Linked DNA regions of Diceros bicornis minor. The protein of the gene in region 1 purifies or fractionates together with the protein of each later gene. This does not show direct contact. Links are inferred from orthologs where the notes say so. Each region holds a gene or a part of one and is shown on either strand. Other genes may lie near its edges.

Region 1 (9,810 bases):
AAGCCTCTCCAAACTGCTCCAGCTTCAGTGATCACTCCCTCCTTGTCCTCCAGGCATTCACTGGGTGTCACTGTTTATCTCTGGGGTCACAGGCTCTGGAGTCAGACAGATCTGGCTTTGAACACTGGACTGTCCACTTAACAGCTGTGTGACTTGAGCAAGGTACTTAACCTTTCTGAGCTTTAGGTCCCTGATGTTAAGCAGAGATGAGAATTCCAGCCTCACAGAGTTGTGAAGAGAATTAAATGAGATCAAGTCTGTAAAGGCCAAGAAGAGAACCTGGCAATGAACAGTCACTCTGGAAATGGCAAGTCCCTTCCCACCCCTCTCTCTGACTTCCTCTTCCCTTTCCTAAAAAAGGAAGCACGATGGAACAGAAGGCACAAGAGAGTCACGGGACCTGGGTCCTCTGGGCCTCACAAGGCCATTAGATAATTAATGAAGCCATTCATTCTTGCATTCATTCATTCATTCATTCACTCAACTTCTATTCCAGCTATGACCTTCTGTACTGTGAGTCTATCTTTTATATTCATCTGTGCCAGACTGTATCTTGTGCTTCAGTATCCCCTGTTAGCGTCTAGCACAGAACCTGGCTCAGAGAGGGCAATGGAAAAATCCCTCCTCAACAATCTACCAAGGGCATGTTTACTGCCTCCCCTCCTTGCCCCAAGAGAGCACCCAGCCCTGGCTGGCACCAGGCGCCTGTCCCCTCCCTCACCCCAGCCCGAAACTAGAGCTGGCGCCACTGGGTGAGGAATCTGGGGACCAACTGTCACAGCTCAGGTATCACCCGCCTCCCGGACGCCTGGGTCTGGCCCTGAGTCCCAGAAGGGCCCTGTCAGCCAGCTGTCTTGGGGGGCCCTGGCTCCACCCCAGCCCCTCTGAGCTGCGCTCCCTGGGGAAATCAGACGGTGCAGGGGACCTGGTAGGGGGAATGCTGGCGTGGTCCCAGGGGAGGAGCAGAGGTGTTTGTCTGTCCAGGTCCAAACCTCAGGCTAGGCCTTTAAAGCCCTTGGAGATCGAGTCCACAAGGACCCATAGTGACCTCCTCTCTCCTCCAATCTCTGCAGCTCTCCCAGTCCAGAAGACTGTTTTGCCCTCACATTGAATCCTGTTTGCCCATGTTCTCTGGGCCATGTAGGCCGGTTTCTGTGTCTCTGTGTTTCTGCTGAAGGCAGAGATCAAGTCTGCTATTTCCTTCGTATGTCCTACAGAATTTTACCCAATACATTCTCATTGATTGAAATTAATGAGTTGAGTGTATTCCAGCAACAGAAAGAAAACTGGCCGCCCTCTCAGCAGGAAGGATGATGTTTAGGTGGCAAGGTGGACTTCCCATAAGGGAGAGGTATTAAGAAAAGAAAATGGAAATCTCACAGAGCATGGGAGAGAGGAGGCTCGGCTGACTAGGACAGATGGAGAAGGCATTGGAGAGGAGTAGGAGATGGAGGAGATAACCTCATAAGGGCCAGCCAGCTTGGGAGGGCAGGCTTGGTGCAGCCTCCTGTCTCTCCCTCCCTCCCTAGGGGCTCTGAGAACCGAGCAGAGGAGGGGCAGGTGTTAAGTGTGTGCCCCATCCCTTGGTTCTGGGTGAATAGGCAGTGATAACAGGTGCCCAGGTTTGCTCGGAGGAGAGAGGGGACAGAGCTCCACACACAGACAAGCACTGTCTGGGTCACCCCCCAACTCCTGTCCTCCAGCTTCCACACTAACCCTGGGCCACCCCACTCTCGACTGGGTCACCCTTCCTGCCTGGCAGCCAGGCCTGTGTATACACACATGAACACACATGCAGATACTCTTGCACATAGACACACACTGCACATACAACCAACTCAAAAACTCCACAGCGTCCTCTGATCCTCAGGCCTGAGGCCAGGAGCCTGGCCGGTGTGTGTGTGTGCGCGCGCGTGTCTGAGAGAGAGTGAGAGAGAGAAAGAGAGAGAGAGAGAGAGAGTTCACCTGCATTCCAGTGCTCAACAGGAATTATTTTTGGAATTATCTGCTGTTTGTTTTGGATGATCTTATTTCTGCAAGTGTAGATTTAGAACTGACTTCAAGTGACTCACAGTGGGTCAGGATCTCCTCCAGCGCCTAGCACATCCTAAGCACTCAATAGGAGGTGGTTAGCTGAATGAATTAATGAAAATTAATTAATGAAGACCACAGTCTAGCTAAAGTCAACTGCAAAGGGAGAACAACCGGAGCTGGAAAACTAACACTGACTGAACACCTAAGCGGAGCCAGGCACCGCGCTAGGGACTTGGCTTATTATTTCCATTTTAGAGATGAGGAAACTGAGACTCATTGGGAAATGCTTGCCCAAGGAGCAGAACTAAGAAGCAGCATGTTTGGCTCTGAGGCCTCCTCCTTCCTCTTACACCTTGAAGCTTCGAACATGCAGTTACACTCCACACACCTTTACTGAGCATCTGCTCTGGGCAGGGGCATGTGCTGGGCACTGGGAGGCCAGGGTGGGGGACAATGACAAAGATGAGAGACACAGTCTTCTCCTCCAAGGGTCTTGAAGAGGAGAGATATGCCACTACACAACTTTGTGGTCATAAGGCAGAGAGTGAGGGGTGGGGTGGAGTGGGCACAGCTGTCTGTTTCCAAGCAAAATTGTTTAGGTAAGGCGTTTGGCCCTCACGCCTTAATTCTAGACTGAGCAGGCAGGGGGAGGGAGGAAGAGGAGGGCCCATGGACAGAAACCTAGCTTGGCCAACACAAGTCACCTCCACAAAGGAGGCCACTGGCCTCTGGGAGCGAGGCAAGGACACATCAAAACCCCCCCTGAGAACCCGGCTCCTCAAGGTGCCCACCCTCGGGCTCCTCCACCACCTTCGCGCTCTGGTAGTCCCGGCGGTGGTGGATATACCCCCACAATCTGCAGGCACACACTCCCATGTGTCTGCCCACGCCACAGACCTAAGTGCTCACACACAGCCTGCCCTCTACGTGCCAGGTCCCGCTCGCCTCTCCTGCCTTGGATATCTGTCTGGAGTCGCAGCGGGACACCGAGGGTGGACACGTGGCAAAAGAACGCACCCAGGGGGCTGATTTGTCCTTGCTGGATCAGTGAGGGGGGTCCAGCAGGGACCGCAGCCTCCCCACCCCACCCCTCAGTCTACCCCTTCCCACTCAGCAGCTGTCCCCCTCCCCGCTCGCACACACTTGTTTCTGTCCTTTGTTTTCCTCCCCAGCCAAATCCCCAAGGCTTCTTTGGTCATTAACCTCCCGCTTTAATTAGCTTAGTGGGGAGGAAAGTGGAAGCAGGGCAAATTCAGGGGTGGGTGTCTAGAGGGACAGGAAGGCTCAGACCAACTGGAGACAAAAATGCCTGGCACACAATCAGTCCTGTGCAACTGTTGGCTATTTCTATTAATGTGAAAACCAGTTCCCTGGTCCACAGAGCAGGAACCTTACCCCAACGAGAGCCCCACAGTCCCGAGTACCACAGTTCCCCCAATCCAGGTTCCTGGGGCAGAAGGAAAGGGAACGAGAGTAGGGACAGCCCACTCCCACAGGGCCTTGTCTCTCCAATTCTTCCTCTCCTGCTCTTGCTTGGTGGCGGTAGCGCCCAATCCCACAATAAGGTTTGTAGTTAATCTTATGTTAAATCCATGATCCAGAGGGGACCCTTCCCCAACTCTGGGGCCTTCTGGGGTTCCTCAGTCATGGCTCCCCTTCCCTGATCTTCTGCCTAGCAAAGGAGCAAGAGCCAACCCCCAACCCCTCCTGAGATCCTCCACCTTGGCTCCCACCCTCCCATTGGTGTGCAAATTTCTTCTTTCCAAGAATCAATTTAGGGAACTGGGCTTCGCAGTTCAGCCCTCAAGGCCTCACAGTGCCAGGTCTATGAGGTCATCTCATCTGTTCCCCTGCCTCCAAGCAGGACTTTACCTCACAAACTAGCTCAGATTTTTGGTTTCCAAGGCACTCCAGAAAAGGACAGCTTACCACTGTAGCTCACCCACCCATTCGTATAAAACTCTTCTTGGGAAGTTCTTCTTAAAGTCTGATCTCAAGCCCTCAAGCTGCAGTGCTATCCTTTCTCCTCTTGGGAAAGACCCAGGCATAAAAAGGGTGACAAAAAATAAATGCTGAAGATATGGGCTAAGGGGAGAAGAAAAGATTGCATTACACTCCAACTTCCCCAAACTCCCCCTAAAAGTACCCAACTGTCCATTTCATGCCTTAAAAACTTATTTTTACTTTCACCAATTTCCAGAGTCAAAGAAGCTGAATTAATGGGTTTCCAATGGGGGAGACATGGGCGAGGCAAAGTGGAATGATGATGGAGGTTAAGGAACAGATCACCTCCAAGCTGTATGCATGGCCCAGGCCTGAAGGAAGTCTGGGTCCTCAGTCGATCCCGTGTCTCCTCCCTCCTGTCGCACTCAAAGCTTATGGCTCTCACCCGAAACTGTTAAGTCACATCATGCCTTTAAGACTTCCCCTGCCTCCTCGCTCTCTGCCCCCCACTTCTCTCCTCTCCCTCCACTCCCTCATCCTCCTCACCTCATCACTCCACAGCCCTCCCAGCTCCCCTCCGCTGATCAGAAGGACGTGAACTAACTCACCTCCCAGTCGGTGCCTCTCAGATCTCCGAGACTGGGGGGCGGGAGGGGATGAGGGGGGATGGCTTGCCGCTTGAGGATGAGAGGACCCCGTCTTTTGCCAGGGGGTCCCACCCTCCAGCCTGGCACCGCATTCTGGTCCCCACAGCGCGCAGAGCCGGGTTCTCCCCGCATCGCGGTTGCGGGCTTTGTCTGCTTTGCGGAGAACCTCTCCCCGCGGCCCCGAGCCGGGATCGACTCTGGAAGAGCGGGAGGGGGAGAGCGGAGAGGGAGCGCAGCAGGGAGGGGGAAGAGGGTAAAGACAGAGAAAGCCGCAGTGACCCAGCCGGGACTGCTCCCCCCCCTCTCGCCCCCCCTCATTATCATAAGAAAGAGGGACCCAAGACTGGCCGGGATCCGGAGAGAGCCCGTCTTGGGAGAGGGGCGCGCTCCATTAGCCTTTTTTCAATCCGTTCCTTTTCTGTACACTGATTCCTCTCCCGTGCCCGCGCCTTGGAAAAATTAGGGACCTCGACTTCCATCCCACCCCCAGCTTTGCCTCCGAGCCGTGGTTAAAGACCGAAGGCAGATCCCTATCCTCCTCGGGTCAAGGAATTCGTCCCTGCGCCCCCGAGAGCGGGAAACTACAACTCCCGGCATGCCCCGGGCGCCCCCGGCGCGCCCCCCTCCCGTCAGTTCCATGCTGCTCCATCCAGTTCATTTAAAACAAAAGAGTTTGAGCGCTGGAAGGGGCTGGGCTCTATTGGGGGCCACTGAGCGCCGCTCCTGGACTGGGGCTCGGTACGGGAGCCTAACGGGGGCGTCTGGACGGCGGGGTCTAGAGACTCCCGGGTCCGAGGCGGGAGGGGTGGGGGCAGAGATCCCGCAGCCCCCCGCCCCCCGTCAGCCCCGGAGAGGAGAGGAGATCTGCCTTCTGGGTTTTGCTTCTCTTTCCCCCCACCCCCACCCTGGGGGCTGGGGCGAGGGGAGTCGGGTTACAGGGTGTTTGGGGAGGGGGGCTTAGGGGGAGGGTCTATCTTTCTATCTCGCTTTCTTCCCCCCTCCCCAGTTCTTTGTTCCCCCTCCCCACACACCCCCCTCCTCTCCTCTCCCCTCCCCTCCTCTCTCCTCTTTTCCCTTCCACCACCTCTCTCTCTCTCCCTCTCTCTCTCTCCCCCAGCTTTTGTTTCGCCATGCCTAGTCTAGTGGTATCTGGAATAATGGAAAGAAATGGGGGCTTTGGAGAACTAGGATGTTTCGGGGGAAGCGCTAAGGACCGAGGGCTGCTGGAAGACGAGCGCGCCCTTCAGCTGGCTCTCGATCAACTCTGCCTCCTGGGTTTGGGGGAGCCCCCCGCCCCCACGGCGGGCGAGGACGGGGGAGGTGGGGGGGGCGGCGCCCCCGCGCCGCAGGCCGCCCCCCCGCAGCCGGCCCCGCCGCCGCCGCCGGCGGCGCCCCCGGCCGCCCCGACGGCGGCCCCCGCGGCGCAGACGCCCCAGCCCCCCACCGCCCCCAAAGGGACCAGCGATGCCAAGCTCTGCGCTCTCTACAAAGAGGCCGAGCTGCGCCTAAAGGGCAGCAGCAACACCACCGAGTGTGTACCCGTGCCCACCTCCGAGCACGTGGCCGAGATCGTGGGCAGGCAAGGTAAGCGGGCGCCCGGACCGCGGAGAGGGACTGGAGTGGGGGGCACCCCATCCTAGCGCAGAAAGTTCATTTCCTCTCTCCTTGCCTGCCTCTGGCTCGGTCCCTTCCCCACAAAGGGGGACCCGCCCCCTACCCTGATTTCCAAGTGCCACAAAGTTCCCTGCTACCCCCAGTCGGGACTGTCCTCCAGATCTTTCCTCCCCCAGGGCTCTGCCCTTAGACAAAGAAATATCCTCTCATAGAGAGAGGGAAAAGGGAGGGGGAATCGGTCTCCCAATCCAGGGAGGCTGTCCGGAGGGGGTGTCCACTCCCAGCCGGAAAAACTGGTGGAATGTGCAGAGAGTTACTCAGAAGCCCCTACTCTGATATCTGAGAGTGGGTTGGGGAGGGGGCACCCCTGGGACCTTCAGCCACCTGGAGTTACAGACTTGGAGGGAGACCTGGCCCGGGAAGCCAGATTATCTGTCTCTTTGTTGGGCTAAGTGTAGGAATGGAAGGGGGTGTGGCTCATGGGAGGGTCCCAGCCAGGGGGAGAGGTGGGGAGGGGGCTGCTGGGAGGAGGGAGTCCTGTGGTCACCCACACACCAAAGTTGAACGGTCTGTGAGGTTTTGGAAGGGGTGCCTCCAACGAAGTGCCACGTCCTGGCGTGGACCTCTCCTCCTCCCTCTCAAGCTTTTGTTCTGGGCTGGCCACGGCCAGGGGCCAGAGGCCTGGAGAGGGGGTCTCTGGTCCTGAGAGAGTAGGACAGAGTGGGGGGGGGTCATGCTGGGGGGTAAGAAACCTTTCCCTGGAGGTTTGGTGGAGGGTGTGTGTCTGTCTGGGTGTGTTGTTGGGTGAGGGGGTGTAGAATTAATCCAGTGTAGTATGTCTGATACCACACCCTCCTCCGTTCCAGCATCTCTGGGCTAGTGGGGGTGGGAGTGTTGGTGAGGGTCCAGACTGAGCAGAGGGGGTCTTGGGGACCCTTCCCTCTCCTGGTTTCCCAAAGGGGAGTGTGTGGGGGGTGGGATTTGGCAATTGCAAGGGGGCTGGGCTGGGGAGGTGTTGGGTGGGGGAGGAGCAGGGGAGGAGCTGTCCCACCGTGGGGAACAATAGAGGAGCTGCATTCCGGCTGTGAGTGAGGGAGGAGGCCGGCTGCTGGCAGGGGAAGAGGGGAGGCGAGCCAGGGGGCCCCTTACTCCACATCCCACCTCATCTACCCGGAGTGCTGGGGGTTGGGGGGATTTTGCAGGGAGATCCGGAATGGAGGAGGGGAAGATGCCACTCCCCTGCACAGCCCTCATCCCCCTGGGGCACTCCATCTCTTGAGATTTCTGGTTTAAAAAGTTGGATTTCCTCTTGTTGCCAGAAACTAGGGACCCAGAGCCCTGGAATTGGGTGGGGACACTGATATCTTTTCTTGGATGTGGTGGTGATCTTGGGAGGCCCCAGAATTTCATGGAGTCATTCTTTCCTCTTCTGCCTCCGCATCAGATGGGCCTGTCTCTCATAAAAGTAGGGGGATTTCTCCTATTCAGAGAAGATAAACCGCCCCCTCATTCCTTAAGTCTATGGAAGTACTCCCTCTTGTCTAACCTCCCTCCTCCTGCTGCAGTGTCAGTGCTCCTCTATTTGACCTCCAGGAAGGTGAAGCCCAGTGAGTCTTCCCTTCAAAAGATGCTTCTTCAGAGTTTTGAAACCCAGGCTGAGGTCCACCATCAGTTCTGCACCTCCGGGCCTCTAGCTTTTCTCCTTCCTCTTATGCCTGAGCTGTCCTCCTCACCCCAGCCCCAACCCCCAAAGACACCTAGCTCTCACTTAAATTTATGGACCCAAAACTTAGTGCCAGAACCCAGGTGCCTATCAGATGCCATGTGAGCAGAAGTTGTAGGCAAGAGGACTTCACTGTTCCTCAACCCTCCATGCCTCACAAATGGAACAATCATTTACTGACAGTAAAGCAGCAGGGATGTGGGTTTGACAACAGGTAGGACTTCTCAACTGCCAAGAGGTCTGAAGACAAAAAGGGGGGAGCAAATTCTCTTTCCTGAGGTCTCTTGAAGGTGAGGAGAGCTGCCCTCAACCTACTCTATCCTCCCACCTGCAAATCTGGTAGAGTTGGAGAGGAAGCCATCTGGAGTGGAGGAAGGAGAGGGAAAAAATGAGCTCACCTCAGGCCTGTGGTTGGAGGGTTGGGGCAGAGTCAGAAAACTAGGACTACTGGCGTTGGTTTTGGGGGGGGATAGGTAGTGTGGTGGGGGAGTGAGAAGGGGAATGGTGAGTATGTACCTGGAGAGAGGTGTGAACGTGTCTGGTTGTGAATGGGGGCAAAAGTAGTGGGCGTGTATAGGAATGTGCTGTTTGTGTGCTGGGGATGATGGGGATGGAAGAGTGGGAAGTGTGAAAGGTTGAAACGCGGGGAATCCGTGTGTGTTTGTGTATGTGTGTGTGAAAGGGGTGTGTGAAAGTGTGTATTAGGCTTGCACCACAAGTATTGTTTAGGTAAAGGCACACAGTGCCTCACAGCTCTTAGGTCCGTGTGCGCGCGCGCACACACACACACACATGTGGCATGTGTGCTTTGAGAAAGCGTGTGAGTCTCTGAGGCTCTGTGAAGCTCGGGGCAGGGAGAGGGAATGTGGGAAAAGAGGAGAGAGGCTTGTCCAGTCAGCCATTGAGGTCTGCAACCTTTAGTGATGGTATGGCCATCCCAGCCTCCCTCACTCTTCTCTTTCCCCTTCTCTCTCTTTGTTTCTCTTTGTCTCGGCTTTCTTCTTTCTCTTCCTGCCTCTCTCCCCAACCTCCCAGCTTTAACCCACTCCTACTTCAAAGCAGGAGTATAGGTCCAGAATACCTTCCCCCTCAGCCCTGCTCAGCCCCAGCCCATGTCAGCTCTCCTGCCCCCAGGGGGACAGGGTGGCAGGAGTGTCCATAAGGTCTGGTGCTGTCCCTCACAAGTCATTATCTTTAACTTCATACTCCTCCTTTCTCCCTTGAAACTCTGATTCTCAGACCCTTCCCAGTCTCCCACCTCCACTAGTTGCTGCAAACTTGCTATGAATTTGGGACCCACTGAGAGACACTAATGGGCGGAAGGCACGGGGGCGTGGATCACAGAGCAGATGGGGGTCAGGGGTCCCTGAGTAGATTGGAGGACACTTGTAGTGAATGGAGGTCAAGTGAGGAGTGGATTGTGGAGTCACTGAGTGCCTTGGGGTTCTGTGGGAAGATCATGGTCAGTGACAGATTGGCAGGGGTGATTAAGTGATTTGGAAGTTTGTGAGTAGCCAAGAATCAGTAGAGAAATTGAAGGAACAGCACATGGTTGGGGAGGAGTTCGTGAGTTGATTTGAGGTTAGCAGCTTGTCTGGGAGGGTCAGTGATTATTTCTGGGCTTCAAGGAGTAAATGAATTTGGAGGGCTCTGAGTGGAATTCGAGGGAATTTTGGTACATTTTGACATCTGTGGTTGATAGAGACGTTGGGTATATCTGAGATACATGAGTGGATTGTTCAAGTCAGGGTATATTGGCGGCGGGGTTCAAAGGGTAGACTGAGGGGTTCTTGGGGGCTGGGTATCTGAGTAAGGATCAGGAGCTTATTGGTCTCAGCACAAACCTTC
Region 2 (10,321 bases), on another chromosome or scaffold:
ACCGTCCGTTCCCTCAAGGGCTCCTAAACTAGTGAGGGATACAGGAGTATAAATAAGTGATAAAACACTGGGGAAAGTGGACCAGTAGCAGGAGATTTAAGGAGGTGTTAATGGATGCTGAACTCTGTGGGGAGTTTGAGAAAGGCTTTCTGGAGCATCCTGGATTTTCAAAGATGGCAAAGAGCTTACCAGAAGGATAAGGCATCAGGAAGGGCAGTCCAATTGGAGGGAGCGACTTATGCAGAGACATGAAGCATTAAGGTATGTTGGAGGAACTAGAAACAGTTCTGAATGGCTTGAGCATGAGGTGTGTGGTGGGAGCCATGGAAGGCCACACAGGGCCTCAGAGGCCATGCCAGATCCTTGGGGACTTGATCCTAAGAGCACTGGAAAGCCTTCAGACGGTTTTGAGCAGAGAATAGTCAGGCTCAGCTTGGTATTTTACAAAGACCACTCAGGCAGCTGTGTGGTGGACCAATTGGAGGCTAGAGATGAGAACTATTGGAGACTAGATGAAGAAAATGACCCCAGAGAGGGAAAAGGGTTTTCTTGACAGTCTCTCAGACGTTAATGTCAGCCCTAGACCTACTGACTCCCAGTGCAGTGATTTCTCATGATTCTTACCCCATTTTACAGGAGAGGCAACTGAGACCCAAAAAAGAAAAGTCACTATGTCTAAGTGATAGAAATGGGAGTAAAGCCCTGGTGGTCACCCCGTGCCTAATCTTCTGGTATCCCCTTTTGTGGGTGAGCTGGGCGTAAGGGATGCTGTTGGGCTCTGCCTCCAGGTGGACTGAAGAATGCATGTGGCCACAGGGCGTGCTGGTGAAGCACAGCAAGAACGTCTACAAAGCAGTGGGCCACTACAACGTGGCCATCCCCTCTGATGTCTCCCACTTCCGGTTCCACGTGAGTCTCCTCCCCTGGGAAGGATGGGGAGGGCCTGACTAGAGGGCAGGAGGATCAGCAGGGCAGGAAGGTGATGTCATACAAGAGAAAGCTATTTTCAGTATTTCCCAAATCCAAAGGAAGACAGTGCACACGTGCAGCACAAGGACAGCCGTATAAATGATCACTTCATAACTGCAGCTCACTTGGTAGCAAATGTTTGAAAACACTGGGTGGGGAAGACGATACAATAAAAGGAGGGGTTCTTGGTAGTGAAAATAGTAACTGTCATTCCTTCTAGTGTGCCAGGCACTGTGGTAAGTACTTCCCATGCACCCTCCCATTCAGTTGTCACAGAACCTTGTGTATGAAAAATGCCAGGGCTATCCCCATTTGCGGATACTGAAATCGGCTTAGAGAATTTAATTTGTTCAAGGGTGCCTTACTGGGAAACTTGGGAACTGATGGTAATGACTCGTGGGCTCAGCTCTGTGGAAAAGACTGTGCAAAATCATCTAGGCTAGTGATCTCCATTTTATTTATTTATTTTATTATCAAAATCTTTTTTTCCAACACAGTCATAGATTAAAGTCCAATATGTAGGACCTTATGGCACTGCTCTATTTGAAAGAGTTGGAATGCCCTTCACTTCCCACTTCCCACTGCTATAGCCCCTAAAAGACCTCCTCAGAACCTCGGGCTCTGAGGAACCTAGTTGAGGAAGCATTGATCTAGGCTGATCTCTTCACTTCACAGTAGAGAAACCTGAGGCCCAGACAGGGAAGGGACTTGCCCAAGGTCCTGTAGCCTGTCAGGTGTAGAGCTGAGCCTGGCACACTGGTCTCTTGGACTCCCATTTCCTGCCACTTCTCCTCCCATTCTGTAAGCAGCTTTTGACGTTTAGGTACCTTGACCTCTGCAGAATCAAGATCCCCTAGACGTTGATTACTCTTTTGAACTGATCAGAAAATTTTTCTTGAGTCCCTATACTCTGCCTTGCCCTGTAAACACCAAGTAAGAGTGAGGTATCACTATGTCCCCTGGAAGCTTCTGGCCTAGCTGGGGATGCTACACATGAAGTAGTGGGTGACTCATGCTGTAGAGTCTATAATAACTTTCCATGCCTATGTCATAAGATTCTAATTTGTTCAGGCCTGACAGTACCCAGGAGGATCACATGTAAAAAGGTGTTGATTTTAGACCAGAAAAAGTATGAAAGAGTGAGTAAGACCTCTCAAGAAAATCTTCCTGGAGGAGGTAGAAGTTGAAGAGGATCTTAAACAATTTATATGGGAAGCAGTAGTCTTGACAGAAGGAACAGCACAAGCAAAGGCAGAGAGGTGGCAAAGTCTGCGCCTATCACTATGAAGTCTTCTTCCCCACCCAAGTCTGCATGGGGTCCCAAGAGCTTGTCCTCTTCACTGGCCCACCCAGAACTCCCATCCAAGAAGCAGGTTTCTGGAATATACTTTCCAGTCCATGCCTACTCTTTCCTGGGCAGTTCTTTTTCAGCAAACCCTTGCGGATCCTCAACATCCTTCTGCTGCTGGAGGGTGCCGTCATTGTCTACCAGCTGTACTCCTTAATGTCCTCTGAAAAGTGGCACCAGACCATCTCACTGGCGCTCATCCTCTTCAGCAACTACTATGCCTTCTTCAAGCTGCTGCGGGACCGCCTGGTATTGGGCAAGGCCTACTCGTACTCGGCCAGCCCCCAGAGGGACCTGGACCACCGGTTCTCCTGAGCCCCAGGGCAACCCCAGGGACAGCATCCAGGCTTCAGCCAGGGGCTCCCTGGGAAGGGGCTGTTGGGGAGGGATGGGTGAGGGGCAAAAACAAAAAAAGACAAAAAAATCCACCAGAGCTTTGTATTTTTGTTACATACTGTTTCTTTCTTTGATAATTGATGTGATTATGAGGAAAACAAAAGTCCTATTTTTATACTCCCAATAAGCCTGTGTCCTGTATTTCTTTCCCTTCTTGCCTGTCAGGCAGAAAGCAGATGTGTGGGATTCTGGGTGGGGAAGCCCCGCTGTGGCTCCTGGGGCCCCTGTGGGCTCTGCCTTCTCCAGTGGAAAGGAGATGAGTAGGCACCAGAGGTCATGGTAGCAGTGACAGCTGCTGCTAGCTGAGTGCTCACTGTGTACCGTGCTGCTCTATGTGTATTATAGGCCTTGTCTTAATCCAACTTTCATGATAATCCTAGGAGGTAGGTGCTGTCACTTCTCTTAAAGATGAAGAACGAGCTCAGAGAGCTGTAATGACTTGCCCAAGGTAACACAGCTAGGAGGTAGAGCTGGGCCCCAAAACCTTCTGAAAGGTGACATATTAACCTAGCAGAATGTGATGTCCTGATTCTCTCAGCATGCAGTCACTGAGACCCTGCTCTCTGCTAGGTGCTGTGGTACATGGTGAGGATGCCAAGACACAGAAACAAGTCATACTACACTGGGATGGGTGTAACAGTTACAGGGGAGGGAATGGTTAATGCTCTGTGGACTTCCTGGAGGAGGGGTAGTCTGAGTTGTATCAGCCACTTCCCAGGTGGACAAGAGGGAGACTTGGCAGAGTCTACACTTAAGCAGAGAAAAGCGTACGAGTAATAGCACAGAGATTTGGAACATCGTAATGTATTGGGGGAAGGGAAGCAGAATGTGGTTCCTAGAGCAGAAAGGATAAGGAAAGTGAGGTGGGGGTGGGTTGGAGCTAGAAAGGTCTGCAGGGACTGGATCAGGGAGGACCAATGGCTCTAGGCTAGGGAGAGTGAGTGAGCAAGGCCAAGTGCTAGAGTGGAAATACAAAGCTGCTTGGAGGGCCACCTGGCTCTTAGGGGGCATAGGATGGAGAGCTCAGGAGTAAGAGAAGAGGAGACACAGACAGTCATAGCCACTTGTCTAGTCTGCCCGTGTTCCCCGAGCCCTATTGGCCACAGGATATGCAGATAAGTCCACGGTGGTGTATTAGAGACAGACACTGCAACCAGCGTTTTTGATGCCTCTGTTGAGGAAGGCATTGTGCCAGGTGCTGGCACAGATACAAAGATGAGGAAGATTCTATCCCTTCCATAGACAACCAGCAGAGAGAGACATTGTCATGAGCAAATTAGGGTGCTAAGTGCTGAGGAAAACATGTGTCCAGGGCACTGAGGAGCAGAGAGGACAGACACCCTGACTCTGGAAAGACAGGCTTTTTCAAGGAGGTGAGAGTTGAGTCTTGAAAGTGAGTAGGTCACACCATGGTCAAGAGGAAAGAGAGGGCATTGCATTTCAAGCAGAGGGAACAGCATGTGCAAAGGCACAAGAGAAGATAGGGACATATTTGGGGAAAAGTGGTTCCCCAAATATGGATGGAGCCTGGGTTGCCTGGTGGGGAGCAGCCTAAGAAGCCAGTAAGGACCAGCCCGTGTGTCAGATTGAAATGTTTGTGCATTACCTAAGGGCAGATAGTAGGAAGTTGCTGAGCAAAGGAGTGACATGAAAAGGTCTCTGATTTTAAGGAGATAGTGGGTGCGGGTGGGAGAGCTTGGAGGCAGGAGACCAGTGAGGAGGCAGGCAAAATAGACCAGGAGAGAAAGAAGAGGTCTGACCTTGAGCAGTGGCAGTAGGAATGATACCAAACCAAGTGGGCTCGCCTCCTGGTGAGTTAAATAAGACTCTACACCAGTGGAAGTTGTCTCACAAAGTAAAGTGTATTTGCAACAAATACTAGGCCATGAGGAATCATTTCCCAAGTTGTGGTGTCCCCGAACAAAGGGAAGCAGGAACTTTTATTTCGGTTGGGGAATGAATATTCAAAAGGGAGAGGTGGGTTATGCACTGCAGATTATGGTAATGAGGCTTAATCTCCGCTTGCAGAGATCGCATTAAAAATCAGGCAAGGTCATGGGCATAGCTCTTGTAAAGAGGCTTGGTTGCTTCAGAGTGGTTGCTGGTTTTGTCTCCTTAACATAAAAACACAACTTGGAAAAACAGTTAAATGCTTCCAAACCCACCCTTGAGTTCCTTGGGGCACTAGTCAGTGACAGGAAGAGAAAGGTAGTGCTCCCTTTCCTGACCATGAGTTCTAGAGTGGGGTTTTTGAGTTGTTTCCCTAAATGAGCCCACCAGGCACACAACTAGAGTTGGCAATTTGTTGTGACAGGACCTGGAAGCCCACATTGCTCTTTCTGCTTCCAAAAGGCATCTCCCTCTGGGACCAGTGACTTGAAGACATAGGCTTCCTCTGTGTGTTGAGGTGGAGGACAGGAGGACGGGCATGTCACTATGCAAAAAGGGAGGCCTACTATGTACCAGCCATAAATTCCATGATTCAAAAGGCACATGAACACTCAGAGCCTCAATTTCCTCATCTCTAAAAAGGGAGATCATATCCCTTGCTTTGTGTAACTTACAGGCTGTTCATTTGTTTATTCATTCAACAATTATTTATGGAGCACATACCATGTGCCAGATACTGTGCTAGGTGCTGGAGATACAGTGATGAACAACACAGGACCCACCCTTGCCTTCAGAGAGCTTACTGTAAGGACAAATGAAATAGCTCTGTTGACTATAAAGCACTGCACCTGTCTCATTCTTTTTCTACTTCTTATCTCCCAATAGGGTTGTAATCGGGTTTACTCTTGACTTCATTTCCCTACCTCTATATCCTTGAGCAAGTCACTTCCCCTCTCCAGATGATTCCTTTTTCATATCCAGCTCAAGGGTCTATGATTGGCTTTAATTACGAAAGGAAGGAATATCTTTCTGGGAGAAAAAGTTTCTAGGGGAGGAAATCTCACTATAAAGAGGAAATAGTAGCAGAAAAACCTGGGAACTCCCAGGCACGCTGAACTTTCTTTAGTAGGCATCCCTCCCAGTCTCTCTCCGCCCACTCCTTTCATATTCCGCCCCTATTCCCCGCCTTTAATAGCTGCGGTCTCTTTAAGTGTGCGCCTTGGTGTGAACTAGGCTGCAGGGCTGAAAGCGCGTTTCTTCGCTGGACTGAATATTGAGTTGTTTGTCCGTTTCGGGCTGCCGTCCTGCAGATCCGCCATATTGTCTGCTGAAGCTGCAGCTGAAGCTCGCCGCTCCCGTCGCCGCCGCCGCCGCCGCCGCCAAGTAGGAGCGAGCGGAGCCGCGATGGGTGAGTAAGGAAACCAGGCGATTGGGGACTCGAGCTGAGGCAGTCTCGGGGTTAGGGGTCTGGCGAGAGCCTGTCTCCGGTCTGCAGAGGATATCCGAGGCCCTTTCAAGTAGGTTTGAGGGGAGAAGCCAGGCCGGGAGTGCCGCTCAGGCCAGTTTGGGGCCGGGCTAGGGCCCATGCGGAGATCAGTCTTCGGGGGCTGGTTCTGGGGACACCTTGTCAAGCCTGGAGCCCCCACGTGGTGGCTCTAGGCCGGAGCCTACGCGTTCCCGGAGGCTAGAAAGGTGCCGACCCTCCGGCCTGCGCCGAGACTGGGGCTGGGGGACGGGCTCCCGGCGGCAGGCCCAGCCGGTGCTAAGGGAGCTCTCTCCAGGCGTGTGTTTGACCGACGCGCATCTTGACTGGATTCGGTGACTCCCCTGAACTCAGGGAAATGTTGCCTACGTCGCGGGTTGAGTCCTCCGTTGAGGAGACGCCAGGCGAGCCAACTCCAGGCCCGTAACCAGGGGCAGCCATGCCAAAGGCAGCCTGGGCCGTTCAAGGCCGGGAGAAGTTCCCGAGCCGAGGCGGAAATGGGGTGGTTCGGTTGGTCTCAGAGTGGACAGCCTTCGTAGTGGTAGAAAACCAAAGGCCGAGACTTCGTGGCCATATATAGGTCGGGGACTTCGGTTTCTGCGCCCGGCCCTGGTTAGGAGAAAAGGAGCGACCTGTTGCTCGTTCTGAAGGGACTCCAGCTGGCAAGGCCTGTGCTTAGAATACGATGGCCAAGTTTTTGGACTTAGGGACAGAACTGTCAGTGGTATTTCCTCTCCAGCAATAAAAACTATTAAATTTGCTAAGCTCTTCCTATGTGCAGGCATTGTTCTGACTGCTTTACATGTCACGTTTCACTTAAAGTGCACAGCCTAATGAGATACATACTACTGTTACCCCTATTTTACAGATGGGAAAACTGAGCCTTAGAGAGGCAAAGTAACTTACCCAAGGTCACACAGTGGCTAAACCAGAGTGATCACTCCAGAACCCTAGTTTATAGCTGCTGTTCTTTATGGCCTGGCCCCCTGGTGGTTGGGGTGGAAGAGGGGGGAAGAAAGCTTTTAACCCTAGGGAAAGTTGTAAAGGTGGTTTGCTGTGTTGTTTTTTTTGCTGGTGGGCCGACTTTGAAATCTTTAGTCTGAAGGAAACTGAAAAAACTCCAAAGTGAATTGCTAACCCCAGCTACTGCGTGGGGCGGGGGGGGGGGGGCGGCTAAATGAGATTCTAGGATTGAGTTTTGTAAGATTCCTGATTCTGAGGAAAGAAAAATTATTCCCTTGAGCTGCAATGCAGTGACTTCAGAATCAGATCTGGTATTTTAATCCTGCCTGCCACTTCCTAGCTCTCATCCAGAGAAGTCACTTAAATGTCAAATGCAGTAATGCATAAGGAAAGCATCTAGCACAGTCCACAATAAATGTTATGTTCCTTCCTTTCTGAGCCTTCCTTTCCTCATCTCTAGAAAGAGGGGAGGGGGCAGTGTTATCAAGGTGTTTGAGAACTAAATAACATAACACAAGCGTTTGGAGTCTAGTAAGGGCTCTATAAATATCAGAACAGATTCCTTTCCACCCTCAATGTTAGTTCCTTTCCCTTAAGCACTCTGGTTTCCAGAATCCTCCATTAAGACTGATAGGCCTGTCTTTATAACTGCAGCTTTATGTATCAATGAAAAATTTTAGGGGTTTTTATGTTATAGATTTTTGTGTTGGCCTTCAATTTCAGAAACCCTGGTGTCTCAAAGGGAAGTGGCTAATGTTTAGTTTATTAAGCTCAGTGAAATAAATTTGGTAGTGGTTTACTCAATTTTTATAGACTGGGGAACTACCTGAGAGAAGATAACACAGCTAGTAATCAGCAAAGCCAGAAGTGAGATTCTTACCCATTTTGCTGCCCGTAAACCTCTTACAAGACATAAGGTGTGAAGTAAAGTTAGTCCTTTTTTAGTAGACTTGGAAATGAAAGTTCTTCACTGGAGCAGCAAAATCTGACCAGAGGCCCGAAGGAGATTTTTAGTCTAGAGTCAGGCAGCCTCTCCTTTTCTCTCCAACTCCATTTCAGGTACCTCTCACCTGTGCCACTTTGTCTTTTTGAACATCCAGCTATTGGTGTGTGTTTGGAGTTTTTTGTTTTTGGCTGATTCTTATACCATGGGAGTGAAACTAGTGTAAGGATACATTTAATCCTGACGTCAAATCTGAGATAGTTTGGGTTATCCTCATTTATAAATGAGTAAACTGAGGCTTTCAGAAGATTAGGTGACTAGTCCAAGGCTGGTGATCTAAGCCCTTTGAGTGCTGGGGACACTAACAGGGCCTGCGTCACATTTCCATGAATCTAGAACCTGCTGTATTTCACTGCCTCTCAGGTATACTCTCCTTGAGCTCTGGCCTATATCCTATACTATTTCTCACTAGCCTTAAGAGACCTTTGTAGTGATTTCACTGCCATTAGGAGCCCTGTAGGCTTCATGCAGCTCTGGAAGTTACTTATTCTGACCCTTCCTATCAGAGACCACAGCCTCTCAAGACTAAGTCTTGGCAGATGCTGGTTGTTTTATCACCATTTCTGCCGTGTTGCTTCCCAGGAATCTGGCATCCCCTCCCCAGCCTCAGAGGGTGGGTCTTGATTAATATAAACTCTAAACCAGTCATTGTAATTCTATCTCCCTAGGCAGTGATTGCTTTAGGCATGGGCATGTGACGCAGTTCTGGCTAATTAGATGTGGAGAAAAGCCTAGGGGACTTCTGGAAAAGCCTTCCTCATTTCAAAGAGATTTGCCTGGTTTTATTATTTTTTGCCAGCTTATATTTTAACCCACGTATCACCAAAGTGTGAGAGCCTCAAAAAAAGACAGAGAGATGGGAAAGCTATAATGATAGCCAACACTTATATAGAACTCGCTATATGCTAGACACTAAGTTCTATAATATTAACTCATTTAATTCTCAGATTCTCATGTTCTACTTGAGGAAACTGAAGCACAGAGAGGTTTAGTAACTTTTGCAAGGAAAAGAGCTAGTAGAAGAACCACTTACTCAAGTAGTATGGTTCTAACCAAAATAGGGGCTATTAAGGTCTATATTCTGCCTCTGGAAAGGAAAGAGCCCTTTTCTGACTCTGAAATTGCCATTAGCAATGCTGGGATCATGAGGCAGAATTTATAATAATAAATAAGAGTAGGCAATTCTAAGGATGAGGATAGAAAAGATGGAAAAAATCTGATATCTTCATGATGTTTTTGAGCCACTGAACTAGCCAACTTGGGAACTGTCTTATCTCTGGGCTTAAATAGGATACCGAAGGCCCCTTCTAGGTTGCTTTTAGCTGCAAGTAACAAAACCTTTCTAACTGATAACGCTTCCAGGTCAGGAAGTAACTTAGCCCATCTCTTCTCTTAGTTTCCCTCCAGTCTTGCCCACCCACTCCACAGTTCATAACAGTTACTTGCAGAGAAGGCACTAAACCATCAATCACCACCTTAATGTCCCACAAGCATTGAACTCACTCCCTATGCCTGGACTTCTTTTCCTGCTTTTTTGTTGATGCTGGGATTATTGGCCCAGACACTAGAGCATAAGATAGAAACCATATCCATCTTTGGTTCCTTGCTCTTTTCTTCCCTTTCTATATAGCAATTATTGGATACTCTATGATCCTATTACTGAGGTCTTCCCTAAATTGCTTTGTGTAGGTTTCTCTCACAGCGTAGTCCCGCAAAGAATATTAATTCTGTGGTCTTTAACCTTGCTGAGTCTCAGGCTCCTCAGAGTGAAAATATGGATAATACTATATATTAATGTTGTTAGTGAAGAGTCAGTGAAGTACTAGATACAAAAAAATATCGTAGGTGCCGGCCCAGTGGCACAGCGGTTAAGTGTGCGCACTCCACTTTGGCGGCCCAGGGTTCGTAGGTTTGGATCCTGGGTGCGCACTGACACACCGTTTGTCAAGCCATGCTGTGATGGTGTCCCATATAAACTAGAGGAAGATGGGCACAGATGTTAGCCCAGGGCCAATCTTCCTCAGCAAAAAGAGGAGGATTGGCATCGGATGTTACCTCAGGGCTAATCTTCCTCACACATGCACGCACAAAAATATTGTAAATTGTAAAGGTGTTATTACTTCAGAAGCCCTCCAAATCTCTTCTGAGGCCTCCCCTACCACTACCAATTCTGCAGCAACGTTGCTAAAACACCCATCTGATCTTGTCACTCTTCTTAGTTTAGGAACTTTCACAGACTCCTTATTGTCTATAGGATAAAATCATAACC

The links. The genes of interacting proteins can lie anywhere in the genome.
Region 2: the proteins of LMNA (region 1) and KPNA6 purify together in Homo sapiens (affinity purification with mass spectrometry; 4 studies listed by BioGRID and IntAct, with this or other methods). This does not show direct contact. The link is inferred for Diceros bicornis minor from reciprocal best matches to the Homo sapiens genes LMNA and KPNA6.

The regions. Positions count from the first base shown.
Region 1 is NC_080743.1:59,724,484-59,734,293, reverse strand, and holds the start of LMNA (lamin), read right to left. Parts: upstream 4,813-9,810; 5' UTR 4,587-4,812; intron 1-4,586. Other genes in the region: RNA-binding protein MEX3A, read left to right, coding at 5,756-6,209.
Region 2 is NC_080752.1:46,917,404-46,927,724, forward strand, and holds the start of KPNA6 (importin subunit alpha-7), read left to right. Parts: upstream 1-5,867; 5' UTR 5,868-6,007; coding exon 6,008-6,011; intron 6,012-6,051; exon of another isoform or gene 6,052-6,120; intron 6,121-10,321. Other genes in the region: TMEM39B (transmembrane protein 39B), read left to right, coding at 789-909, 2,390-2,632. UniProt on the Homo sapiens protein: Functions in nuclear protein import as an adapter protein for nuclear receptor KPNB1. Binds specifically and directly to substrates containing either a simple or bipartite NLS motif.